Linked DNA regions of Canis lupus familiaris. The protein of the gene in region 6 interacts with the protein of the main gene of each other region in a pairwise test. Links are inferred from orthologs where the notes say so. Each region holds a gene or a part of one and is shown on either strand. Other genes may lie near its edges. The genes, in order: SLAIN1, RBPMS, RBFOX2, NIF3L1, EXOSC5, DMRTB1 and VASP.

The links.
Region 1: the proteins of DMRTB1 (region 6) and SLAIN1 interact in a two-hybrid assay, tested with the Homo sapiens proteins (2 studies listed by BioGRID). The link is inferred for Canis lupus familiaris from reciprocal best matches to the Homo sapiens genes DMRTB1 and SLAIN1.
Region 2: the proteins of DMRTB1 (region 6) and RBPMS interact in a two-hybrid assay, tested with the Homo sapiens proteins (2 studies listed by BioGRID). The link is inferred for Canis lupus familiaris from reciprocal best matches to the Homo sapiens genes DMRTB1 and RBPMS.
Region 3: the proteins of DMRTB1 (region 6) and RBFOX2 interact in a two-hybrid assay, tested with the Homo sapiens proteins (3 studies listed by BioGRID). The link is inferred for Canis lupus familiaris from reciprocal best matches to the Homo sapiens genes DMRTB1 and RBFOX2.
Region 4: the proteins of DMRTB1 (region 6) and NIF3L1 interact in a two-hybrid assay, tested with the Homo sapiens proteins (2 studies listed by BioGRID and IntAct). The two-hybrid records come from large-scale screens. The link is inferred for Canis lupus familiaris from reciprocal best matches to the Homo sapiens genes DMRTB1 and NIF3L1.
Region 5: the proteins of DMRTB1 (region 6) and EXOSC5 interact in a two-hybrid assay, tested with the Homo sapiens proteins (2 studies listed by BioGRID). The link is inferred for Canis lupus familiaris from reciprocal best matches to the Homo sapiens genes DMRTB1 and EXOSC5.
Region 7: the proteins of DMRTB1 (region 6) and VASP interact in a two-hybrid assay, tested with the Homo sapiens proteins (2 studies listed by BioGRID and IntAct). The two-hybrid records come from large-scale screens. The link is inferred for Canis lupus familiaris from reciprocal best matches to the Homo sapiens genes DMRTB1 and VASP.

What each region holds. Positions count from the first base shown.
Region 1 is NC_049243.1:31,288,749-31,292,853, forward strand, and holds the start of SLAIN1 (SLAIN motif-containing protein 1), read left to right. Parts: upstream 1-1,305; 5' UTR 1,306-1,337; coding exon 1,338-1,951; intron 1,952-4,105. UniProt on the Homo sapiens protein: Microtubule plus-end tracking protein that might be involved in the regulation of cytoplasmic microtubule dynamics, microtubule organization and microtubule elongation.
Region 2 is NC_049237.1:34,777,312-34,781,270, reverse strand, and holds the start of RBPMS (RNA-binding protein with multiple splicing), read left to right. Parts: upstream 1-1,159; 5' UTR 1,160-1,441; intron 1,442-1,539; 5' UTR 1,540-1,678; intron 1,679-2,765; 5' UTR 2,766-3,021; coding exon 3,022-3,087; intron 3,088-3,552; exon of another isoform or gene 3,553-3,567; coding exon of another isoform or gene 3,568-3,591; intron 3,592-3,959.
Region 3 is NC_049231.1:29,472,120-29,475,619, reverse strand, and holds part of RBFOX2 (RNA binding protein fox-1 homolog 2), read right to left. Parts: intron 1,124-3,500; coding exon 1,070-1,123; intron 951-1,069; coding exon 858-950; intron 1-857. UniProt on the Homo sapiens protein: RNA-binding protein that regulates alternative splicing events by binding to 5'-UGCAUGU-3' elements. Prevents binding of U2AF2 to the 3'-splice site.
Region 4 is NC_049258.1:9,940,186-9,944,253, reverse strand, and holds the start of NIF3L1 (NIF3-like protein 1), read right to left. Parts: upstream 2,801-4,068; 5' UTR 2,693-2,800; intron 2,687-2,692; exon of another isoform or gene 2,415-2,686; intron 2,396-2,414; exon of another isoform or gene 2,146-2,395; intron 2,033-2,145; exon of another isoform or gene 2,014-2,032; intron 1,323-2,013; exon of another isoform or gene 832-1,322; intron 736-831; 5' UTR 711-735; coding exon 275-710; intron 1-274. Other genes in the region: PPIL3 (peptidyl-prolyl cis-trans isomerase-like 3), read left to right, coding at 3,922-3,924. UniProt on the Homo sapiens protein: May function as a transcriptional corepressor through its interaction with COPS2, negatively regulating the expression of genes involved in neuronal differentiation.
Region 5 is NC_049222.1:113,387,512-113,391,011, reverse strand, and holds part of EXOSC5 (exosome complex component RRP46), read right to left. Parts: intron 1,226-3,500; coding exon 1,112-1,225; intron 600-1,111; coding exon 478-599; intron 1-477. UniProt on the Homo sapiens protein: Non-catalytic component of the RNA exosome complex which has 3'->5' exoribonuclease activity and participates in a multitude of cellular RNA processing and degradation events.
Region 6 is NC_049226.1:55,949,047-55,951,900, forward strand, and holds the end of DMRTB1 (doublesex- and mab-3-related transcription factor B1), read right to left. Parts: coding exon 2,816-2,854; intron 1,509-2,815; coding exon 1,324-1,508; 3' UTR 501-1,323; downstream 1-500.
Region 7 is NC_049222.1:110,771,947-110,775,949, forward strand, and holds the start of VASP (vasodilator-stimulated phosphoprotein), read right to left. Parts: upstream 2,801-4,003; 5' UTR 2,756-2,800; coding exon 2,751-2,755; intron 1-2,750. UniProt on the Homo sapiens protein: Ena/VASP proteins are actin-associated proteins involved in a range of processes dependent on cytoskeleton remodeling and cell polarity such as axon guidance, lamellipodial and filopodial dynamics, platelet activation and cell migration.

The DNA.
Region 1 (4,105 bases), on a different chromosome or scaffold from region 6:
TCACAGAGATTGGTATGTAAAGTGCCCGAGCAGGAATTCTCACCAGATAGCATATCATCTGAGGATGAGAACCAGTTGTGCGGACTTTTCTCATAATAAAATCGCAGACTTCTCTCCGAGTGTGTCAAACACTCACAGTTCAAAGTCAATATTAATGGAATGAAACTGGATTCAATTCTTCTACCTAAAAGCCTCCCCCTGCCCCCCAGAGCAGATTTGCCAGTAGTTTCCAAAAGATGTAAGAAGCGCAGCTTGCAGGTGAGGTCAGGGATACTGGGATAGAGGTTTTGTTTTCCTCGGTTCCCTTCCACCCCCGTAAGTCAGTCTGACCTAATAGCTTGTAAATTATTAAAGAGATGGAGCACTATGCAATTTTACTCATGTTTCGCCTGTAATGATTTTTGCTTGTCCTGTTCACTGCGTGATGGTCAACTCTTAGAATCGGGTCTGGAGCAGTGAAGTGCTCCAAGGCCTTTTGTGTGATACGCGGTACGGAAAATGCTCTTGCTTTATCACGACCGGCACTGGTGGTAAAGGAATCATTTGAGTTCCTCCGCTTTAGGGTACACTGAGCACCACTGGGCTCTTCAGCAGCTGGCCTGTCTTAGAGGGACGTCTTCTTTCTCCCCGGCCTCCTGTCCCCCACCATTTTGCTTCTGTATTGCCAATTAGTGGATTAGTAGCACTGCCTCAAAGTCTTTCTGCTCCACGTTTTCACTTTTCAGCCCCGGGGTAACGTCCTCGGCCCTCGGGTTCTCCGCGGGCTTCGTGAGCCCGGGGCCAGTGGCTACGGCGGTTGGGCCGCAGCACGGCGCGGGCGCGGGGTGCGCGCCTCCAGGGCAGGCGCCTGCAGCGGGCTTCGGGGAACCCGGGCTCGCGGACCGCGCCGCGGGCGCTCGGCACAGCTGCGGCAGCGCCTCGGGCGGGAAAGCGCGGGCCGGGCCCCGCCAGGGCACCTGGGGGCAGGGCGGCAGGGGGCTCGCCTCCTCGCGCCGCAGGTCCCCGCCGGCCCCGCCCACCCGGCGTTCGCGCCCCGCCCCGCCCCGCCCCGCCCCGGGGCCGCGGCTAAAACCCGGAGCCGCCGCGCCGCCCGGGGGACCGGAGGGCGCTCTGAGCATGTGCAGAGCCGTTCGGCGGCGGCTGCCTCGGCCGGAGGCTGGGCCCCGGTGCTGATGCGAGCAGCCGGCTCGGCTCCTGCCCCAGCGTGGTCGGCGCCTCGGGCCGGGGCGGCAGGGAAGGAGCCGTAGCCTCCCCGCGGCCCGAGGAGCGGCGCGGCGGCGCGTCCCCCCCCCCCCCGCCCCCCACCGCCCGCGGCCGCGGCGCCCCCGGGGCCCACGATGATGGCGGAGCAGGTGAAATGCGCCTCGACAGGGGGCGGCTCCGGAGCGGGCTCCGGGCCGGTGGTGAACGCAGAGCTGGAGGTGAAGAAGCTGCAGGAGCTGGTGCGCAAGCTGGAGAAGCAGAACGAGCAGCTGCGGAGCCGGGCGGCGAGCGCGGCCGCCGCCCCGCACCTGCTGCTGCTGCCGCCGCCGCCGCCGCCCGCCGCGCCGCCCCCCGCCGGGGCCTGCAGCCCGTTGGGTCCCCGGAGCCCCCCGGCCGCCGCCGCCGCCGCCTCGGGGGGCCTGGGGCTCGGGCTGGCGCTGGGCGCCGGGGGCGGCTGCGGCGGCGGCGGCGGCTCCAGCCCCGCGTTCCCGGGCACCTTCTGCCTGCCCAGCCCGGCACCCTCCCTGCTCTGCAGCCTGGCACAGCCCCCCGAGGCGCCCTTCGTCTACTTCAAGCCGGCGGCGGGCTTCTTCGGCGCGGGCGGCGGCGGGCCGGAGCCGGGGGGCGCGGGGACGCCGCCGGGGGGAGCCCCCGCGCCGCCCTCGCCGCCCCCGACGCTGCTGGACGAGGTGGAGCCGCTGGACCTGGAGAGCGTGGCCGCCTGGCGGGACGAGGACGACTGCACCTGGTATTGCCGAGCTCCGCTCCCTCCCCCGGGGGCCCGGCCTCGGAGGCCCGGGGAGCGGGGTGGGCGTGGGCCGGGGCAGCGGGGGGGGGGGGGGGGCTCGCGGTCGCCCCCGGACGCGGTGGCCTGGCAGGTGCCCAGGTCCGCGAGGAGCCGGGGCCTTTCCCGAGGGCGAAACGTGTTTCTCGCAGCTCAGGCTGGCGCCGCCGGGGATGGGCCGGTCCCCTCCGTCTCCGCGGGCCCGCGCCCTGCTGCAGCGGCCCCCGGCGCCGTGGAGCAGTCACCGAAGAACCCGTGCCTTCTTTTTGTTACTCGGTCCAGCTTCCCGCCCGCCCCATCATCTGGGGGGAGGCACGGGGGATGGGGAGGGGTTGGCCTCCGTCTGCGAGGCCAACCTGGTCTTTCCTCCCCGGCGGACCTGGGCAGGGTCTGTGCGGCGGGGGGGTGCCCTCCCGTGGCTTCCCCCGCCGCTTCCCCAGCCGCCGCCTCGGAGATTCGTTCTTGCGGTTTGAGCTGTGCGGTCGCACGTCCTCGTCCGCTGCATTTTCCTTGATCGCCTCTCATTTCAAAGCCTGACTAGCTGTTTTGAGATGTGCTGCCCTCACTGGCTTTCCTGTCACTAATGGTGTCAAAGATGGGGGCAGCTTGAAGACACTTTACTTCGAAACCAAGGATCTTTCTTTAATTCTTTTTTTTTTAAATCGAACTGTTGATTGAAGAAAAGGGAGATTAGAGAAACTTTATTATAATTATAATCATTATTTTTTTAGAAACTAAGTTATCTAAAAACCTGTGGCTGGCAGCAGCATTTCACTGGAAATCTGGTTAGCTCTTCTCTCCATCAATGAGTGACTTTGAAGGGGAGGGTCCGGTTACCTTAGTGTTTTTACGCTACGTTCTCATGGAGTGAGTTCCTTTCGTGACCTACTTCTTTTGGTTGCTTCATTTGCTTTCCTCCATCTCCTAGGGGTAGTGGGACAGGGGAAGATGAGTAGAAGCCTCAGAAAGTGGAACTTTGATTCCCGCAGGGAAAATGCACAGCATTCACCTTTAAGTAGCTGTGGCAGGAAGAAGAGTTGGAGCCCTTCTTTTATCTCGGGTTCTTCCTGCTCCTGGAGGCTGGATTTCCCTCACTTTCTCTGTGGTCCTGTTGCATGATCTCACACGGAGGAATGGGAAATGGAGACTCTTACTGGTTTTCTGTTGAGACCTGTGGTGTTCCTATATACTTAGAGCTCCTGACTGCAAAGTACATTAATTGGTTTGAACTGCAGAATCCAAACGTATCTGGAGCATCTCCTCCTCCTCAGTACTCTCCCTGTTGGCAGGCAGCTGTGCTGGTAGCTCAAGTTGTAAAAACCAAAACAACTCCCCACTTTTGGGAGCTTTATAAGCCGTACTTTAGATATTACACCTTTGTTTTTCTGTGAAGCCCAGGCTGTATTGTAAACTCAGTTTCAGCCTGAACATGGCACTAGAAAATGCTCTCATGTTGGTCGTTCTTAGGTTATAATAACTCTAAGCCCATATGTTGCTTTCAAATTACGTTACATTGATTTAGTTCCCACTTGGCCTTTTCTGGAAATATGTACTTAAATGGTAGAAGGAAACTTGTTTGTGTTTTTGATGGGCATCAATCCTGTACGTTAAAAGTGTTAGCATTTTTAAACGTATTATGATATGCTTATAATTTTGGAAGTGTATTCAAATGGGGTAGTATATACATAGCTAATATAATAGTATTTTCTTCCATTGAATGGACTTCTCCCTATTGTCCAACTACTGCTAGAATTTTGATATGTAGGCTTTTTTTTTTGTAGTTTGTTTTTTGTCAAAATAGTATTGAAATAACTTTGGGGAAAAAAAATGACCTGCTCTGTGGGATTACTTTGTTAGCACTTCAGATGGTTTGAAGTGAATGTAAAGTATAGCAGGTTCTACTAATTTCACTCATCAGCTATTTAGGGGAGTACATAAATCAATGCCTTGACGCTTTATAGATGTTTCTACAGACAAGTGGCACATTGTTTTATGGCCTATCTTTTTCATTTGTTTGTTTGTTTGTTTTAATTTTTTAAATTTATTTATGATAGTCACAGAGAGAGAGAGAGAGAGAGAGAGAGGCAGAGACATAGGCAGAGGGAGAAGCAGGCTCCA
Region 2 (3,959 bases), on a different chromosome or scaffold from region 6:
CTACCATGAATCTGCCTAGTGTCCTTGTGGTGGCTCCCTATGCTGAGACACTTCCACTTATTCAGTCCCTCCTGCAGGGGCTTTGTAAAGATGTGATGTCATTCAAGGCTGAAAATCAATCTCTGATAAGACTGTGTTCATTTATTCAAAAATATTCACCGAGAGCCTACTATGTGTTAGGCACTGTCTAGATATTGGGGACACAACGATCAAATCAGACAAAGATCTTCTTCTAGCCCTTATTTTTTTTTTTTTATGCCAGATGTCTTTGACTTTTAACAATGGACAAAGTGCTGGCAAAAGAATCAGGTTCTACATTTGGAATTAGGCCACATTTCCCTGGACGGAGGTAGCAGCAGCATCCTGGAATCATACAGCACCTTCCACCGACTTGTAAGTGGAGTCTGACTGGAATCATCAATGACTAGATCAACTGTCACTTTTCTTGGGCCTTTGCCAGGCTCCAGCAAGACAATATCTTTCTGTGGAGTGTATTCAGTACCTGGCAATGGCCCAGGAGGGCAAAGGGCCTGTGTTTATTGGTGGCGCAGGGGCCCAAGACCACCACGCAGCCATTGCTCAGGAACACATTGCCCCCTCGTGGTTCTTTACGTAATTGAGGGAGGGACTGGGATTGGAAAGGCTCTCCAAATTTCCAGATTAATCGTGGTGGCCTTTGCCTCTTCTGAACTTCCATTGCAAGTTCAACAGTTTCTTGGTTTATTTTCATCCAGGATACGCTTTCCCCCCACCCCCCCCACAGAGGCACATGACATCCTGACAGCAATTAAACCTATTTATCAAAAGCTTCAGACTTCCCCCACCCCCAACCCAAGAAAACCCCAGTAAGTGAATGCAAGAATTACCACTCTGTTTTTCTTCACAACGCTCGTCACACAAGTATTTTCTCTGCTTTCTGCTATTTGAACCAGGATCGCTGATCATGTGGCCATGGAGTTGTTTTGGGTGTCTCGTCTCCACAACACCAGTTAAAACTCCCTAGAAGCAGGAGCCTTATCTTCACCCCCACCTCCACCCCACCCCCAGCAGCACTTAAACCAGTACAGGGTGAAGAATGTCTGGCGGGGAGGGGGGAGAGCAGAGAAAGATAAACAGTGAAGCGAGCAAATAAATAGAAGTTGTGATTGGTACTGTGCTGGAAAGGAACAGCATGTCGTGTGAGAGAATTCCTGGGCGTGGGAAGTGAGGGAGAATCTTCTGATAGAGGCCCTTTTAAATTTATGTGTTTATGATACAGGAATGGAGAAGCTCTCTATGGCCCCGGGAAAATGGAAATTTCCTTAATAATAATGCTAGTTTCCCTGTTCTGTAAACTTACACCGGGCAGGAATGAGTGCTGGGTGCTCTAGCTCTACCAACCTATAATCTCCTCTAATTACAACCCCCCTGGGAGGTAACTATAACTACTCCCATTTCGCAGGTGAGGAAACGGAACCCAGGCAGTCCTCTGGCGCGTGGTGCTTAAACAGGTACTGGGTGCCCCCCTCCCAGAATGCTGAGCCCTTTTTCTTCCTTAAGGGGCTTTGACCCTCCGAAGATCATCTGGGTTGGCCTCCAGCTCGGCTCGCCGTGAGCAACAGTCACTTAGCCAACAAGTATTTATTGAGTGCCTACTGTATACCCGGTAGCGTATTTAACTAGCCGTGGGATTATCAAGGTAAACAAGGACACGGTGAGGCTGGCGTTGCGTTGTGGGGAGGCTCCCCCGGAAGGGTGAGGGAGGCAGGCAGGTAAGCAATTCCAGGACGGTCTGCTGAGGGCCGAGAGAGGGGCCTGAGCAGAGGGGGGCGCGAAGCCTAGCAGAGGGCGAAGGCCGGGGCTGAGAGCCTGGGAGGGCCCGGCGTGGGAGGTGGGTTTGAAGCTGCGCCCTGGAAACGCCGGCCCCGAGCCGGCTGCCCCCGGACCTCGCTCGTTCTCTCGCATCCTGTCATTTCGAGCTGCCAAGTAGGAAGGGAGGAAATAGGTCTGAGCCGGTGCTGCAGAGGCAGGGCAGGCTGAGCGACGGGGGCGCGATCCCCACGGCGGTAGCCCACGGCGCGTCCCGGGCGTCGCGCGGGCCCGGCCCGGCGCCCCGAAGCCCCTCTCCAAGCGGGCGCGCACCGCCGCGCGAGCTCGCCAGCTCCGGGGGCCCCCGGGGGCCGGGGAAGCGGGAGGACCTGGCCTCCCTCCCTCGTCCGCCTCGGCCCCTGCCCTCCGACCTCCCGCCGAGTCGGGGGGCTGGGGTCGGCCGCTTCCGCCCGCCGCCCCCCGCCCCTCCCCGGCGCGCGCCATCCGGCCGCGGGCGGCCCCTCCTCCCGAGGGGGGCTTCTGCGTCCCGCGTCCCGTCCCTCCGGGCTGAAGCTGGCAGCCCACGTCTAGGGAGGGCGGAGGGAGGAGGAGGAGGAGGGGGAGGGGGAGGAGAGAGGGGAGGGAGGAGGGCGAGAGAAAGGGAGCTGCTTGGATCCCGTACTTCTCAGAGCCTGCCTGGAGCGCGCACTCAGCGGCTCTCCGGGTCCCAGCGTCCCAGCCGCGCCCCGCACCTCCTCCTCCTCCTCCTCCTCCTCCTCCTCCTCTTCCTCGGGTCTGGGCACCCCTCGCCCCCTCCCTCCGGCCCCCGCCAGGCTCGGGCAGCGGCCGCCCCCAGCCCCGACGCGGCCACATCCCCAACTCTCTGGGCTCCCTCCTGGGACGCGCGCCCGCGCCCCATCCTTTCTTCCTTCCTTCCTTCCTTCCCTCGCGCCCGCCCGCCCGCCCGCGCTCTCCAGGTCTCCCTCCCGGTCCCGATTGTCTCCGTCCCCGCCGGCCCGCGCCTCGCCCTGCCCCGTGTCTCCCGCGCACTTCCTGGGTCGCCTCGCCTCGCCTCGCCGCGGAGCCCGAGCCGCCGCTGCCCCGGCTCCAGCCCCCGCAGCCCGCGGCGCCCGCCCGAGGGAGCCCCGGCGCCCGGGGAAGGGACAAGCGGGCGAGCGCGCCCTCGCCCCAGCCCCGCGCCCCAGCCCTGCCCGGCGAGGAAGGACCGGGAAGATGAACAACGGCGGCAAAGCCGAGAAGGAGAACACCCCGAGCGAGGCCAACCTTCAGGAGGAAGAGGTACCGGGGGGCTCGCTGCGGCGGGGGCACGACCTGGGCGCCGCAGTCCGGGGTCTGGGCACGGCCCTCGCCGCGACCTGTGGCCCCGGGCCGGGGGGGGGGCGGCGGGGGGGGTCTCTTCGCAGAGCGCGTTTCTAAAGTTGCGTAACTTTGAGGACTTTTCGGAGTTTGCTAAGTATAATGCTCAGCTTTGTCTGCGTGGGATTTTAAAAGCGGAATCGAGAGCTGACTCCCGGGTGACCTCCGGTTCCTGGGACCCAGAGGGTCGGGACCGAGTCTGCGACCGGGGCTGGGAGTGGGGGGTGTTTGTGCGTGCGGCGTGAGGAAGGAAGGAACTCGGGGAAAGTTCTCGGCGGGGAGACACCTTCAGTTCCCTGCCCCCTCCCCCTCCCTTTTCAGTGTTAAAAGTTCTCGGTGCGATCTCTTTCCAGCTGAGGCATTCTGGATTAATAGATAACTCATCAGCTGCATTCTTCTCTGATGAGTCAAAGACCTCGAATCTGGGTGATTAGGGTTTGTAAATTTTAGGGGCGATGCGGCTGGGGTGGGGTGGGGGAAGCCGAATAAAAGAGTTTGAGAGTTTACAACTCGCCAAGAGATCATCTTGGCTGTTTTAATAGCACTTTGACTCCTGAGCGTGAATTTTATGTGGTGCGTCCGTAACAAAGTTAAAAACGTTGCGGCGGCGGAGCGTTCCTTGGGGTAGAAACCCCATTTATCCGTGGGAGGGAACACCTGAACGGACGGTTTCAGAATTTTGTAGTTAGGATATTTGTGGTATTCTTTCAAGTGGCTTTGTTCCTGCAGGTATGTTACCTGGAGTCCAAGAAACAGTACATGTTTCGCCTGCTTTTTAAGTTCTCCCATAGCTG
Region 3 (3,500 bases), on a different chromosome or scaffold from region 6:
AAAGAGGTCAAGAAGCTCTGAGGACTACTGCCGTAGTAAGAGACAAGACTTTTAATTTCTGCAGGCAGTTTAAATTGTTGATATTAATTCTTTAACTGGCCAATTATTAATCTTATTTTCACATGTTGTTATGTGCACTTAATAATTATTCTTCATAAGAGCAGTCTTTTGTGTTTGTATGTGGTGCTAACCTCCAAGGCATACAATAATCTTTAGATATTTCATTAGTCCATTTTATTCTTTTATCTAAAATGTTTTAATCCAGAAATGTTAGGGGAGAGGAAAACGACTTCTCCCTTGTAATCCTGTGGCCTTCAGAGAGGCAGAAAGTTTCTAAAGGTCTATTTTAAATGTGCTATCCTCTGGAAAGCACACAGAGACATTTATTCCATGTTCACTGAACTCTTTTTAATTATACCTTGCTAGAGCAAAATGGCTCAGGTCAGAATGACTTCAGAGGTATCAACAGAGGGAGAATAATCATTAATGCTGGAGGTGCTTCTAAATGATACTCTACTAAAAAGCCCAAAGCTGACCTGCAGAGAACATGCATATTATATTCCACAAGTATCTATTTCTTTGGTTTTAAAATCAAGTGCAGACTAAAATGTTCTACACATGTCCTCAATCCCCTTGACCTTTTCCAACTATTTATGCTTCGTGGCAATCTCAGTATCTGGTCAGAAAGATTCTTACACAGGTTAAGCAGGATGGGACACTGTGACAGCATTTAACTCTCTTGAGAAGGCCTCCTCCTCAGTTATATATTATACTTGGGGAAGAAGAAAAAGACTAGGACACATCACTGTTTACTCACAACAGTCAAAATCCATGCCAGGCCAACATAGGCTACTTACTGATTAAAGGAATGTAAGTGTTAATACCCCCTCTTCCTGATAGGGGCACTGCTGCATCATTGCCTAGGGACACGTCTGCTTGAAAGCTGGATGCTGATTGCATTTAAAAAAATTAAAAAAAATGCAAAAAGATTACAAAGGAATAGTAGATCGAAAACCAACAGATGTTGTCATGGTCAATAGGCCAAATGGAAAAATTAATGAAATACTACCTGCATATAACTCAGGGCCATATACAGCTCCAACTACGGGGCTTAATTTCCAACCTGCAATGGAAGAGAGGACAGAGAGCATTTAAGACTCCATGAGGAAAAGGTGTGATGAGGGCATGTGAAAGCTGGCTCCAGACATCCCTGCATTTAAGCTCCACCCAACACTATCTTCTCTGTAGACGCCAGCTGATGGGTCACTTCCACACCTGAGCATCTTTAAGCAGAACAAGCACAGTGAAGGGATAATAAGGGGGGGTGGGTGTTGCAGGTATAGGGGCAAATGGGGAGGAGAAAAACTGGGTGGGAGGAAAGAGAAGGACAAAGAAATGTAAGAAATAAAAGTAAATCCTGGGCTCTGGTTTCGTCTCTTTCATAGAACTGCTTAGAACATATTCTTTGAAAAAAAAATTCTTTGTTTTTAGAAAAATGAGAAAGGCAGAATATATGTCATTGTACACCACACTGTGATGCACTTTCTTATTCATCATCTTCACACTGTTTACTACTCTCACTGCTTTATAAAGGTATATTCTGAATTTAAATTTGAGCTGATCTTTGACTCTGTTCAATTATACCATACTGATGGAAATCTAGGTAAGTGAAAATCCCCTTTCTTTGGGATTTACCAATGGAATTTCGGTGCAGTTATCCTCAGCCAAGTGAACAAGAAGAGACACTCAGTAATAAAATTCAAGGTACATCCCCAATTTCATGCATTTTTTGGGATTTTAAGTGGTAATAAACATACTTAATTAGTTGTTTTAGCTAAAGGATACTAGACTGCTGTTGAGTACCAACCTAAGCATTTATAAACTTTAAGTACTTGCAAACATTAGGTTTGGTGTCAACTTTATTTCTTCATCCCCCTTTTTCATATTTATAGAAATATAGCAGACGTTAAAAAGAGAAAAATGTACTACTGCCCATTGATAGTTAAGGAGTAGAATTTCTTTTTTTTTTTTAAAGATTTTATTTATTTATTCATGAAAGACACATAGAGAAAGGCAGAGACACAGGCAGAAGGAGAAGCAGGCTCCATGGAGGGAGCCTGACGCGGGACTTGATCCCAGCACTCGAGGATCATGCCCTGACCCAAAGGCAGGCGCTAAACCGCTGAGCCACTCAGGGATCCCCAAGGAGTAGAATTTCATATGAAAACTTTAATCAATAGACTTTTATTGAATTTTACACAAATAAGCAAACATACTCCATTATTTTTCTTAAAGACTGGAGACAGTATTCAAGAGAAAACTCATTCATCCTGAACCAATCTAACCCCCGTTCATTATTTTATGTGCTCATAGATGGTGAACACATGATTTTACATAAAAATTGGGCAAATACCTCAGTTCAAATGTTACTGGAGTTGTAAGAACACAAATGTTCTACAATGTCAGACAAATCAAGTGATTCCAACCAATGTAAACTAAATCGCTGAGACTTCACTAGAAGGCATCTAGCGCACTCTTTTCAGAAGCTTTAAACCACAAGCAGCTGTTGGTCTCTCAAGTTTGGCTTGGTTAGGCTTGAGTATTAATTTAGAATAATATTTTAAAAAATGACTTTTTTCTTCCTGCAAATGGCACCATTACTTAAGCATTCCCTTAAGTATATTACATATTTTAATAATGGTATGTAATGGTATGCTGTCAATAATACTTTGAGTACGTTTAGTTTTTTTTTTGTATGTTTGGTTTTGTACAAATTTACAATGTATTTTGACCTTCACAAAACCCAAGGGGAGAGGTAAGATAGGTACCACATCTGGGACAATGAATAAGTACTATACTTCTTTGGGCTTAATTTCCTAAATAATAAGCTAAGAGAGGGCTGGATTTTGATGACTTCTATAGAGGCTTCAGGTGCTAAAATTCTGTGATCACCAATTAAGAGAGATGAAAACAGAATCAGGTTAAAAAGATTGGTCCACTGACAGAGTAAAATGAGTCAAATCTAGAAGTAGAATTTCTGTCTTCTCAATTCTAGTCAGTGACTCTTTCTACCACAGCATTCTCCCTGGATCTAAAGGAAATGTAACTTTGCCTCTCCTTCCTATTTTGTTTACATGAGTTATTATCAAAATTGCAGAAACTTGTTTTTGTTATGGGCATTGAAAAAAAAAAAACAAGAGGTAAAGGGGGAGGCAGTGGTATCACAAGATAGACCATTGATAAATGGGTAGGCAAAATGTAAATTATGCTGATAAATGCAAATTATGCTGATTTGTACCATCTGTTTGAGAAGCTGGGCTAAATCTATCTATTGGAGACATCATGGAATATACTAAGATTCTTACACTTGATTTTAGGACATTACCAGCAAATACAATACTTATCTAAGCAGTAGATTCAAACTTTTATTTTTTTTTTTTATTATTTTTTTTTTTTAAGATTTATTTATTTATGATAGACATAGAGAGATAGAGAGAGAG
Region 4 (4,068 bases), on a different chromosome or scaffold from region 6:
TCAATTTAACAAGCACTTCTCAAATTTCTGGGTGCTAGGCACGTTGTTCCATGAGTGAGGACTCACAGCAATGACGATTTCCTATGCTTTCCTTATTCATTAAGGATAAAAACTTATCAAATACAACTGCCAGATTTCACATTATTTTTAAATAGGTAAAAATAAAATAATGGTACACACATATAAAGCAGTTAACATTCTATTCAAGACACTTTAAAATTTCAAAGCATTTGTAGGGAAAATATTAAACATGAAAAAATAAAAGGCTTCTCACCAAGCCCTTTTGCCAACCAGCTGTTGACTCCTTGGGGTGCAGCATCATAGGCGGTGTGAGGAGAGTAAATACCAACTCTGTTTTCCAGAGCCCGGATCACCAGGCGCTCCTTCCAGGTTTTCCAGGTTATGTGTTTTAAGGGTCGAAAAATAGGTGGATGGTAGGAGAGAATGAGGTCCGCCTTTTTTTGCAGCGCCTCCTCCATCACTTCCTCAGTCAAGTCGTTGGTAAGGAAGAGTGTGTTTACAGTGTGTGGTGGGCTTGGTTCCACCAGTAAGCCAACATTGTCCCAACTCTCAGCAAGGGAGAGGGATGCAAAGTCATTCAAGGAGCAAAGGAGCGCCTTTAAATCCATGGAGGAATGGCAAGAATTGTAGATGAGGGAATGAACAAGCCGGACTGTTCTGGGAATGAGGCGTACACGAGACGACAACATACAGAAATCAGGTAACACTGAGTATCTGAAGCCAAAACACAGAAAATGGTACAGATACATACTTTAGGCCTGGACCCTTGAGGGAGCAAAGCACAGGAGCAAAAGAGCTGTAGTCACATACCCCTGGGTTCAAATGCAGAGTCGGCCACCTACCAGCACGTGGTATCTCAGTCATTTACCCTCTCTGAGGTTATGTTTTCATTTACAAAACGGGAGACGCTACAGCCTACATCAGAGGCTAACCACAGGAGCAAATGAATTAATACGTGTAAGTCACCTAACATGAGCTTGGTACATAATACACAAATGTTCATCCCCACTTTCTCCACCCCACACACACCTTGGTTCTTTTCTTCTCATCTTTGCTTTAATCATCCTCCTGCCTTCTCCAGTTCTCTAAATATTACCCTTCCTTCCAAGTCCTAAATAAAGCTTTTCTTGACAAACATTTCCAGTGTCTAGGCCCTATACTAAACTAAGAGTCAACTCCAGTTAAGAATCCATGTACAGGGGATGCCTGGGTGGCTCAGCGGTTGAGCATCTGCCTTTGGCTCAGGGCGTGATCCTGGAGACCCGGGATCAAGTCCCACGTCGGGGCCCCCGCATGGAGCCTGCTTCTCCCTCTGCCTGCGTCTCTGCCTCTCTCTCTGTGTCTCTCATAAAGTCTTAAAAAAAAAAAAAAGAATCCAGGTACAGGGACGCCCGGGTGGCTCAGCGGTTTGGCGCCTGCCTTCGGTCCAGGGTGTGATACTGGAGACCCAGGATCAAGTCCCACGACCGGCTCCCGCATGGAGCCTGCTTCTCTCTCTGCCTATCTCTCATGAATAAATAAATAAAAATCTTAAAAAAAAAAAAAAGAAAAAAAAAAGGAATTCACCCACTGTCCTACAAATAAAGAGAAAATTAAAAATCCAGGAATATTTATATTTTTGAAGAAAAGCATTCATAATATGCATAATAACTGGGATCCCTGGGTGGCGCAGCGGTTTGGCACCTGCCTTTGGCCCAGGGCGCGATCCTGGAGACCCGGGATCGAATCCCACATCGGGCTCCCGGTGCATGGAGCCTGCTTCTCCCTCTGCCTGTGTCTCTGCCTCCTCTCTCTCTCTGTGACTATCATAAATAAATAAAAATTAAAAAAAATATGCATAATAACTGACAAGGTATAGCACAGCCAACCGAAAATCTAATCAAATATTAATAACCTAATTTCAAAAAACTTTTTCAATAAATATGCTCAAATTCGTTGAAAAAAAAAAGTATGTTTTCAGCAAAAAAAATGTTTACTATGAGGTGTGCGCACTTATTCAGTGTCTGCTCTGAAGGGACGTGGGGCCTCCGAAACCCACTGGGGCCTGGGGTCGCGTGAGAGCTCAGGTCCTCATACCACTCTCCTCTCCGGATTCCAAGCACCGACGCTGCGCTCTGCACTCACCCAGGCTGGCGGGCGGGCAACTGAGGCCGCGGGGGCCAACGGCTAAATTTGAAAGAACCCTTGAAAATACCACCACCCTCCCACTTCACGGATCAGGAAGCAGCGAAGCGGCGTGGCTTGACGCCATGAACAACGGGGGGCGGCTTTGCCGGCGGGTGGGGGGGCGCCCACTCGGCAGCCAGCCCGACTCGCAGGGCCGCGGCTGTGTAACCAGGTACCCGACCCCTGTCGCTTCGCCCTCTCAAGAATGAGAAGAGGGCCCCGCTTACGTTGTGCTCGCGAGGTTTCGCGGGACGGCGGGGAACGAGGCCTAGCGTGGCACGCCCCCGCCCTACAGCCAGCCAGCGGCACCCTGTTGCACTGCGCCGGCTCTCACTTCCGTCCCACTTCAGGCCGCTTCCAGGGCAAGGCAGACGCCAGACGCGCCGGAAGCTCCCAGTCAGCACTCCTGCCCTCCCCGCCGGGGGCCCTAGGCTCCCCAGCCACACGCCACTTTCCGGCCCGCGTCTCCCCCCTCTGCCTCCTTTCCCAGAAACGCCCTCACAACCTCCACAGCGCGCAATGACGGCGGGGCGCCACGCGAGGCCCGCACTCGCCACTTCCGGTCCTGCGCAGGGCCTCCAGGCGTGGCCGGACGGGCTGAGGAGGAGCCGGGCGGAAGTGACCTCAAGCCGCTCGCCGGTGTTGCCCGCCTTAGTTCCGCTTTGCGTTTCGCGTGCTTGTAGGGTTATGAAGCGAGCCCCCTCTCCCTGTCAAAAGCGTACCAGGTGAGGGTAAATTCCATTGCCTTCGTAAGTTCTAGTCACTTTGGTTTGAAATAGGGAGCGGGAGGTAAAAGGCGAGCAGGTGAGGAGCGTTCTAACGGGCCCCGCGCTCGGCCTGCGGTAGCCCGAAGACCCTAATTTCGAAACGTGGGTAAATGCAAGGGCATCGTCTCGGTTGCCACAACAGGTGTGCTAACGGAAGTGGTCCGTCACATCCCCCATTCTCTCATTCACTTACTGAGAGAGACCCTTGCTAGGCTCTGTTCTGGTGCTTGGGCTGTTCCATCCAGTGAGCATTCTGGACGGGAGGGTAGTATTGGAACAGACTTCTTTAGAAAAATATATAGCGTATTATTGGTCAGTGCTATGGGAAAAGATAATCGGGCAGGTACTAAAGTGAAGGCAATTTTTTTTTTTTTTTTTTTTTTATGATAGTCACACACAGAGAGAGAAGCAGAGACACAGGCAGAGGGAGAAGCAGGCTCCATGCAGGGAGCCCGACGTGGGATTCGATCCCGGGTCTCCAGGATCGCGCCCTGGGCCAAAGGCAGGCGCCAAACCTCTGCGCCACCCAGGGCTCCCTGAAGGCAGTTTTAAGGAGAGTTATAAGGCCAATAGGAACTGACTTCTGAGCAGAGACTTGGACTCGAGGAAAATAAGCGGCCAGACGTCTGGGTGTAAGGGCTCCAGACAAAGAGAGCACCCAGCGCCTGGACCCCAAGGCGGAAATGTACGCGACTTGGAGGACTTGCAGGGAGTGAAGAAGAAGTGAACAGGGGAAGTAGGAGATCGATAGGTTCTCATCATTTCCATCACTAGACTTTTATTACTTGGGGGGTGCTGTTCCAGACTTTTTCTTTTAAATATGGGGTAGAAATGAGCATGTGTGAGTTAAGAGAGGAAAACGAACTTAATTTTCTCTTTTGGGAATAGAGACACGTTTTCTAACTTCTCTTGGTGAGACTGAGAAATTGAACAATAGTACTTCCTGAAACTCACATCAAGAAGAAAAATGGTAAGTTTGATTCAATTCTTGTTGTCTTTCATTATAGATAATTTTTAGAAATTCAGTCAAGGAAAATAAAACTGGTATGATGGCTAAACAAAACCCGAAGCAAAATTACTTTTAAATTCTTCAGTGGAAAAAAATATAAATAAA
Region 5 (3,500 bases), on a different chromosome or scaffold from region 6:
CAGGTTTTGTAGGCAGTCAGGCCTGGGCTTGAGTTCTGCCCCTGCCGCCTTCCAGCTGTGTGACCCTGGGTAAGGGACTTCCCCTCTCGGGGCCTGTTTCCTCACCTCAAACATGGGAACATAGGAACTCCCATCTGCCCGGGGCCTCGGGCTCTGGGAGCACATGGCTTGGGCTCAAATCCTCGCTCTGCATTATTAGACAGAAGCTGACCTTCCTGTGCCTTAGTTTCCCCATTTGGGCCATGGGGGATTATAGTGGCACCGAACTGTCGTGCCGTGAGGATGAAGTGAGTTAACATGTATAAGGCACTCAGACCAGTGCCCGACGCGTGGTGAGCACTCAAGTGGGTTTGCTATTCTTCAATAAGAGGGTGCCTGTCAAGTGTTCGGAGGCCTCCTGGCTAACAGAGCAAGGGAGGCCACCACGGAGATTCTGGAGGACTTCCTGGAGGAGGCGGCCTGGGGGGAGAAGGATACAGAGCCAGCATCACTGACGACCTGCAGCACCACAGTGATGGAGGTGCGGGGGTGCAGCGTTCCCAATACCACTGCTTCACACGTGTTCCTGATCAGTCGCTCCCGGCTCTTCTCCGCGACGCCTGGGGAAAATCAGGGGTGGGGCAGGGCGGGGTGGGGTTGTCAGCCTCTTCCCTTCCTTCCATCTGGCTCACCTTCCTCCACACGCCCCACCCAAGCCCTCTGGAGAGGGCCTGCCATCTCCACCAGGGCTGGTGCAGGACCCTGCACGGATGACAGAGGACCCCCAGTGGGAAGGAGGCAGGGCCTGACCGGACCCACCCCGCCCCACCCCTGCCCCCTCCAGCATCCAGCAAGGGAGCCTCTTGGGGGAGGAAAACCCTGAGTTCCTCTGTCCCCTGCCGCTGCCCACTTCTCAGCTGGCTGCTGAACCCAGCCTCAGCGTAAGGGGGAGAGTAAACGGGTGGAAAAACAGGTTAGTGGAAAGAAGGGGAGATGGAGCCAGGAAAGAGGAGTAGGGAGGACAGACTAGGAGGTGGGGGACAGACAGGAGGCCAAGAGCCGGGGAAAGGCGCAAAGAGCTGAGGGTGGGGACGGCGGAGGGGAAGAAGGTGGAGCTCCTGCCGCCCATTACCAGGCAGCCCGATCTTCGGCCTCAGGATCACCTCCAGGGTGGCCTTGTTGAAGATCTCTTTGCTGACTTTCACCTCGGCTGGCCCGTACACGCCCGCCAGGACTGACGTGTCCCCTGGGGAGAGAGCAGGGCAGGTCTCATGCACACCTTGCCTTCCTGGGGCTGCAGGGGTCAGGGTGGGGGCACCAGGGCAGTGAGCTGGCGGCTGGCCTTCCCTGCGCCAGCCCCGGGTCTGGCCCACCTTTTGCTGGTAGTGGTTCTTTGAGCACTGGCTTCACTCACGTCTCTGCCTACGCTTCTTCATCTGGGACATGGGGATGATGGCAGCACCTAACCTTGTAGCGTCGTGAGGATTAAACGAGGTCATCCACGTCAAACACTGCAGCTATGGCCCAGCGCACCACTGACTTTAGCTATTCTTAACTTCAACGGGAAGTTCTTCCCGAGGGCTAACCTTCCTCCTCCTTACTGCAGTTGGTCTCAACTCCTCACAAAGCTTCCTCCAACCTAGCTCTCTTCCCTCGGGCTCACGTCCCCAAACTCTGCAGTCATCGGGACCCCCGAGAGTGAGAAATACCCAGGAGTGGTCCTGAGTGGGCACGAATGGGGTCCGCGGAGGTAAGACCTGAGAAGCAAAAGCCTGGCTTCAGGGAGTGCCTGGTGGCTCAGTCGGTTGAGCATCTGCCTTTGGCTCAGGTCATGATCCTGGGATCGAGCCCCAAGTGGGCTGATCTTCTCCTTCTCCTACTCCCCCTGCTTGTGCAAGCATGCACGCTCTCTCTTGCTGTCAAATAAATCTTCAAAAAATCCAAAACCAAACAAAGAAAGCCCCCAAAACCCCTGACTTCTGGTCCTGCCTGCTTCTTGCTAGCTCTGTAACCTTGGCTGATTGTACTCACTTCTCTTGGCCTCAGTTTTACCATCTGCAAAATGAAGAGACTGAACTACACCAGTGGCTGTTGAAGCTTTTCTTGCCATAACTCTCAATTAAAAAATGTATTTTCTGGCACCACCCCAAGTTCATGCAAATCTCCATGTGTGGACACGCAACAAAGGCCTCATAAAACGCCTCTTACCATCACTGCTCTGACACTCTAATGCTTTCTACTCTACTCTAGTTCATTTAATTTTATTTACTTTTTATTTATTTATTATTTATTAAAGATTTTATTTATTTATTCATGAGACACACAGGGGCGGGGGGAGGGGGGAGCAGAGACACAGGCAGAGGGAGAAGCAGGCTCCATGCAGGGAGCCCGATGTGGGACTCGATCCCAGGACTCCAGGGTCACACCCTGAGCTGAAAGCAGATGCTCAACTGCTGAGCCACCCAGGCGTCCCAACTTATTTACTTTTTTGATTTTATTTTTACATGGGGCTCAAACTCACAGCCCTGGGATCGAGAGTCGGACGCTCCTTGGACAGAGTCCGTCAAGCGCCCCTACTCTATTCCAGTTAAAAAGTACTGCCAACCGCAGCAGTGGTCCTGAACCCTGGCTGCACGCTCAGAATCACCGGGGCACTTGAAAAGACGTCCAGCCCCCTCCCCCAGAGATCCTAATTCAGCTGCCGGGTGGGGCATGGGCACTGGGAGCATAAGAGCTCCCACGGGTCATTCTGACGTGCAGCTGGGCCCACAGTCTGCAGTGGGAAAAACAGCGCTTGAGCACAGCTTCGAAACACTGCAAACAGAATCTCTGCAGCGGTTACAGATGGAGAGGGGCCAGCCTTAGCAGGTGTGCGGTGGATTCTGGGACCCTGCCTTTTTAACAACCCCATCAGAGATTTGGAGGCCAAAGGCGGGTGGGACGTACTTTCCAGGGTCTGCCAGGGGTCCCAGAGTTTGGGAGTTTTAGAACGTGGAAGGCGTTAACCCTCCTCAGTGTTTCTGAAGTCTAAGAAACTCCAGGCATATGATTTTAGCAGAAGAGCAAAGTCTCCAGGAGGGCCTGGGAAGGTCCCCAGGGTCAGGGCATGTTTCCTGGGTTGGGGAGAAGGAGCTGCACCAGAGCTGAGGGATTCTCTTGGCTCCAGGAGAATCTGCCCTCAGAGGGGAACTTAACCACACAGGACGAGATCCACACGTTGCTCTTCATTCTTTTCTGGATGAGCTGCCTGTGGCCCCCATGAACCTAGGAGATCCTCCCTCTCATCTTCTCAGGGACATGGCCCCAGCAATTTTCGGGAGCAATTCAAGGAATTCTATATTCTTTGGATCCACATCCATCTTCAACTCCTGCCCCATTTATCTGATCCTCTTCCAGCAAAGCTCTCAAAGACAAGTCTGACTTGCTGTCTTCTTCTCCTCCCTGACCCCACCACTCCACCAAACAGCTCTTGACAGCATCACAGATGACATAGGTCCGGACTGTCCACCGACAGGTCTGGA
Region 6 (2,854 bases):
GGGAGAACAGAGAGCATTTCTCAGCGATCATCTTGCCGCTTGTCCTGGGGATTCTGGGACACCCCTGCCTACAAGCCAGGTGGCATGCAGACTGGCCTGTTTGAGTGCCAGTCTGCCCCTGGACAGAGGACAGGACACAGTGTCTCACCCAGAATCCTTCACTCCAGGTCCCTTACTCTTTCTGCACCCACCCCCCAGGAATGCCTACTTTCACCTTTAAGATAGAGTTGAGATCCCAACTTCTGACCACCCCCACAGCTGAGTGAGGGAAACTAAAAGAAATCTTTACATCTTGTGTGTCTGCAATGTCCTCAAAAGGTCTCCACTGCTTAAGAAAAATGGTGGGAATATCAACGACAGACAGAAATCTAGTAGCCTGGCCCAACCCTCTCCCTTGGCAACAGGGAAAGGGGAGGTAAGCCAGGAAGGGACTTGCCAGGCCCAGACGCTCTCCCCAAAACCACCTTCCACAAGACTTAAAGAAAATGAAACTTGCACGATGATTTCCACTGCTTATTTTATTTCAACAGTCAACTGTCCCCAGAGAAGAAATGGATACATAGATGATTTAGAAGCACCATTCTCTTCTGAGAACTGCATCAGTGCTTACAAACAGCCTACTTTTTAAAGTTGGCAATCACTATAAAAATATCAAATAGTCAAACTTTAATAGATTTTTTTTAACCAGAAAAGATGCCTATAGTGGCTTAAACTTTATGGAGAGGAGAGGAGGCAGCCCCAGCAGTCAGAATGCTTGGTGCAGCCCCTTGGAGAAGGGGCGAGAGGCAGTGGCCAGGCAGCCCTCACAAGAGATAGAGCAGCAGGGAAGGACGCTGTAGAACCTGCTGTCAGCACCTGGTCCCAGCTGCCCACACAAACCACCTGGATGTGCTTGGGGCTCAGTGTTTGTGCTGCCCCCAGCTGGGACCAAGCAGAGGCGGAAGCAGAAGGCTGAAATAGATGGTGCCTCCTGTCCTGGAGCGGGCCCGAGGAAATCAAAGACCACTTCTGGGAGTGAGTCTAACAGCAGCACAACCCAGACTCAGTTAAATTCATTCCTAAATGTGAGCTTCCACCAGCCCCCCAATCCTCAAAGCCCTGGCCCTCCCCTGCTAACCATCCTCCATGTTCCTGGTCAATCCCACGTCTCTGGATAGAGAGAACCTTAGAAATCACCTTCCTCCCTCCTGTCTTGAAATGGAAATTAAACTGCCATTTTATGTCTACTACTACCCTTCCTCCCTACACATCCCCAAACCCGTTAAGAACATCATTGCTGCAACACCCGCAACCCCCACCCCGCTGGCCCAAGCATGCCAGGGCCTAGTTGGACTGCTCCTTGGAAGGCAGCTGGCTGGGCTCACCCGGCAGCACCTCCGCCTCTGCCTCAGGCGCCTCTGCCTCCACCTCAGGGGCCCCCGCCTCCGCTTCAGGGTCCTCCGCCTCAGGGGCCCCCGCCTCCGCCTCAGGCACCCCGGGCTCCTCTGGTACCCCTGCATCCTGGCCATCTGTGAAGGACAAAGAGGGGCTGGATTTACAAACAGGGGAATTACCTACTTTCAGATGCAAACTTTTGGTCAGGCATTCTCAGGGTTCCCAGCCTCTGCGGAGAATGCCTTTGCCCTCCATGGGCCAGGTGTCCGGACCCTGGCAGCCTAGCCCCAGCCCAACACAGACTCCAGCTCACACTCTGGCTCTGCCTGTCGCCAGCTGGGTGGCCAGGAGCAAGCTACCCCGAGGCTCTGAACTTCTGCACGCTTCTGGGGAATGAGATCTGCCCTCCCAACGTCAGGTCAGCAGGGGATGACAGGAAACAGGGAGAATGAACACAAATGCCGTCCTGGGGTGCAGGTTCAGATGGGTCCTCAGAATCACCTCCTGAGGTGGGGCCGTTAAGCCCACTTCTGCAGAAGGTGAGGGAGGGGGGAGGCTCCAAGGACTGAATGACCTTGCCGCGGGTCACAAAGCTACTGTCTGGCTCTGGGGCCAGCATGCTTCAAGCCACACACCATCTCTGCCTATCTAGGCATCTCAAACACAGCACGTGTGTACAGAAGGCCTCACTTCCTTTTCCTAGGGAGCCTCAGGGAAGGACTGAAAGGGGAAAAAAAAATCCTAGAACCTTTAAAGCTGCAAGAACCCTCGTAAGAAAACCTAAAGCACTTTTACCTCTAATATTGACTACCACAATAACCCTGTTAACAGGACCCATTTTACAGATGAGGAGACAGGCCTCGAGTGAGTGGGAGGGCCTGAGGTCACCCAGTGCGCCAGTGGCAGAGCAATGAAGGACAGGGTCCCTGGCTCCTGGCCGGTTTCTCTCCACGAGGACTTATCCCTAGCAACCCCCACCCAGTTCCAGCTGCTGCCCCAGCCTCAGCATCTGCTGCTTCCCTCTCTAGAATAGCCCCAGCTGAGCCAGAGCAGCCTGGCACAGCTGGTCTCCTGAACACACCACAGGAATGCCATCCTTCACATCTCTGCCCACAGGCCCTGATAAGGGGTGGGGGTGGGGGGGATTGGGAATTAGCATGAGCTCCGGAGCCAGACAGAATTCTGTGGAGATCCAAGCGCTGCCATCTTCCATTTACATATGTGAGAACCTCTCAGGGTTCCATTGGTTTTCTCACCTGAGACTGGGGAGCCCCTCTTGGATGCTTGCATATGGAATAAAAAGAGGGATATAACTGAAGAGCTCATCCCCAGACCCAATGCATTTTAAATTCTGCTCTCCACCTCTACTTTGTGATTAGGCCCCCTTCCTCCAGGAAGTCCTCCTGGCTCCCCAGAAGCTGAAAGCCTGGGGCCCTCTTACCAGTGGTTTCCTTGTCTGTATCAGACAGAATGGTGAGAG
Region 7 (4,003 bases), on a different chromosome or scaffold from region 6:
ACACCAACTATAACCCTTCCAAAACTGCAAGTCTTTGAAGCAACCTTGTACAAAGAACCAGATCTATGGGCTTTGGGTTTGTGTGGGTTCACTCTAGCTGCTCCTTCCCTATAAGCCTCAGTTTCCCATAAATGAACAGAAAGGTAAAAGATTCTTCTTGCTTATCTGCATTATCTTAAGTGTTCACATAGTGCAAACATGTTACTTGTTTTTTTTTTTTTTAATACCATTAAAACGTTTTATTTTCCTTTTTCTGTAATAGCATCGTAGTCTGGAGACTGCCCTAAATTCAAATCTAGAGCTGCCTACTTCCAAACTGACTTGAATAGGTTATTTGCTTAATTTTTCTGTGTCTCAGTTGACCCATGGAGGTGGGGCAGTCAGAATAATACAGTGCCTGGCACAGAGCACATGTTTGATCAGATGGTCTCTTATTATTATTTAAAAAACAACAACTTTGTAAGGTAATAATAATTACCATTCCTGGAAGAGGAAAGAAATGGACCTAAATACCGCTTGCAGCCCTCTGCCCTGAGATTCTCAGACCTCTGCCCCCTCTCTGAGCCTTCCCAGAATCCCAGCTGAGTCTCGCACACAGCAGACACTTAACAAATATTTGTCAAACTGGGAGAAAAAGAACTATATCTTGTAACTTTCCATTTTAACATCCTCTCTTCGCCCAGCCAAAGCAGACAGAAGTCAAGTCGCAGGATCCCAGTCCCCTCCCCTCCCTCAACACTGCCTGAGGGATCTAGGGCGAGCCTCAGTTTCCCTGGCTGCCCTCATGCAGGGGCAGGGGTCTTTTGGAATCCTAGAGGTCCTGGAAGAGGGGGCGCAGCGAGTTGGGCGTGGCCATCAGCAGGGAAGACCCCCTGGGGAGGTGCGAGTGACCCTCCGGTGGGAGGCCCAGCAGTTCAACCCCTGCCCACCGCCCCCCCACCCCCCAGGAGGTGGGAGCTTTGGCCGCGGCCAACAGTAGGGGGACCCTGTGGGAGGGCGAAGGCCTCCGGGCCTGGGGGAGGGGGGGCGGGAGGCCGGCCCAGACACTGCTCCTGCCCTTTTACGGTCTCACAGTGAGTGAGGCAGCACTAACTCGGACATCCGCCATCCGCCTTCCACGGTGCCTGGGACCGGAAACGCGAGGGGGGGCGGGGGGCGGGGCGGGGGGGCAGCCGTGGGAGAGGAGGGTCCCCTGGGAAGAGGGTGAGGGAAGAGAGCCTGGCTCCCCCCAAAATGCCCCCTCTCCGGGGCAGGCCTCGGAGGGATGTGGCTATAATGGGGGGTAGGTAGGCGGGAGACCTCGAGGGTGGGTGTCCGTGGGTGCCCCCTCACTCCAAAATGCTCCAACACTTTCACATCAGAAGGAACACAGGCGGAGGGGGTCTCTAATGGTCCTAAAGGGCAATGCGACTCTTGATGTCAGAGGGCAGGGGCGTGTGGGGGTAGTGGGAGGATGTGGGCACCAGGGGGTTAATCCCCAGTCCTCCTCGGGGGGCCTCCCCCTCAAGCTGGGGGCTTTGGGGGCAGGAAGTCCCTGAGAGAGTGGAGGAAGGGAGATAGTATTGTCAGGCTCGGGCCCCAAGGGAGAGATTATGGGGGGCCAGGGGGAGGGGAGAGTGGGGGAGGGTCTACTCCGGTCTCCCAGCCCGCCCCGGCCCCGCCCTCAGGTGAGCCCAGGAGTTCTGAGGTCCGACCCGGTAAGACAAAAATCCCTGGGTCCTCTGGGCCCCCCAACCCCAGGATTAAATTCCTGGGAAGGTGTCTGGGACTGTCTTGGGAGCCTGGGTCCCAGGGGGAGAGGGCTATGACCTTGAAGCTTTTTACAGCGCCCCCCCCCCCACCCCACGGCTCTGGAGGGCCGGGTAGGGGGGCGGTGGTGAGAGCAAGGGGCGGCGCGTGGTGGGGAAAGCAGCCGGCCCACTGCACTCCTTGCCCGCCCCCCCAACACCAGCTGTCTCGACAGGTGAGTCAGGAAGACAAAGGCCCCTCTTCCCGCAGCTGCCGCGCCCCCTCCCTCCCCAGGACGCACAGGTGGGGGCGCGGGGCCGCCCTCCTGGCCCCGGGCCGGGGAGCCGCCCTCCGCGCCGAGCCCTGGAGCTCCGTCCTAGGCACCGCTTGTTTTAAACAGAAGGTGGGTGGGGAGCGGCGGGGGAGGGGAGTCCCAACCAGACCCTCGAGGCTGTCCGGGTCCGTGGGTTCGTCTGCACTCACCTCCACCGGAGGACGAGAGCCCCCCGAAATTTAAGGGGTTAAGTGCCCCCGAAGTTAAGAAGCGAGGTCCCACTTGGGAAGGCTTTTTCCAGCGCCACGTAAAAGCAGACCCGGCAAACCAAGGTCTACGTCCCGAATCTCTCTTCCAGGTCCCAGGAACCCCCAACCCGGTCCCCTCAATCCCTCCCGGAGCCCGAGTTGAGATTTTTGGGGGGGTAGTCTGAGCCCTGCCTTAATTCTGGCCTCCATGCTGGCAGGATCTGGCAACTTGGAGGTTCTCTGAAAAAGTCTTTAAGAAATTCGGGAGTCCTCGGGGCGCCCCCAAATCTGAGGGCTTCCGAGAGAACCTCTGAGGCACCACCCGAGCCTTAGGAGTCATGGCGAAGCGGTCAGTATTTGGAACTCGTCCAAGGGGGCTCGGCCTCAAATCCGAGGCCCCCAGTGCCCTGTCCCCAAATTCCAGCTGGGGGAGGGGGACAAAGGCGGGGCGGGGAGCCCGCGCGGAGCGCGGAAGGGTTTGGAGGCAGTTCGAGGCTCACCTCATGGCTGCTCAGCGGGAGGGCGGCGCACCCACGGGTGGGTGCTCCCGGGGCGCCCCTGGCTCAAGGTTCAGGGGTTCGGGGCTGGCTCCAGGTTCTGCTCAGTCTCCCCCAGGGTCCCGCCCCATAGAGTCCGGCTTCCTGGGGGGGAACGTGGACGGGGCCGGGGCGGGTCCTCAGGCGCCTCCTCCCTCTGGAGGTTTGATCGGGGGTCCCTGCGGCAGAAAGGGGGTGCGGCGTCCCGTCCCCGGCGCGCCCCCTCGGCCGGCGGCGGGTACAATGTTACTCTTACTACTGTACTTCTCTTCGCTACATTTCGTTCCAAAATTCCACTCCCCGCACCCACAATGCCCTGCGCCTTAAAGGGGCCGCGGACACCTCTAGGCGGTGGGGGGGGTGAAGGGCGCTTAAAAGGGCAACGCGGAACCCTACACTTCCGCTATTTACCTCTTCCCCAACGTTAGAGAAATGGGGATGCACGCTGAGGGTCACCCCCAAATTAGGGGGTAGGTCTGGTGGAGGGCAAGGGATCCTTCCTGATCGCTCATTCGCTCCTACGATGGAAATTCTTAGGAGGATCTTAATGGGGACAATTCCTGCTCACCCTCCCCAACGACTTCTCCATTTCTTCACGTTCTGCTCAATTTGGGGGGTGGGCGCGAAGACGATCCTCTGGTTAAGCATAGATTCTCTCAAATTTTCCCCCTTAAATGATACCTTAAATGCTACCCCCAGCGTCTCTCTTCTCTGCTAATATATGAAAGGTGACTAAGGGATGAACCCCTTTCCCCAGCACAGGGGGGGGTGGGCGGGGAGGGCCCCATCCCTCTCGCCGCCCCCCGCCCGCCCCAGGAAGGTGAGGAGGAAGTGGGCCGAGGGGGCGCGGCCGGCCGCTGACTCACTGCCTGGGGGTGGGGGTGGGGGTGGGGGCGGGGGCAGGGGTGAGGGTGCGGCGCTGCCCCTGGGTGCGGATGGGACTCCAGGTTCCTGTGTGGTTAAAACCCCTGGAACCTCTCCCCACGCACCCCCGCCGTGACTCAGTTTCGCCCGCAGAGGATGGCGGGATCATCCAGCAATAGGAGGGCGCGGAGGCAGGGGCACCCACCCACCTGGTGCTGGCTCCTAGGAACCCCCTCCCCCACGCAGTAGCTTGGGTCTGAGGCCCAAACACCCTCCCAAGCTTCCGCAGCGGGTCCCGCAGGCCCCGCCCCATGTGACTCCACTGGTGGCCACTCCCCTCCCGCAGAGCGCCA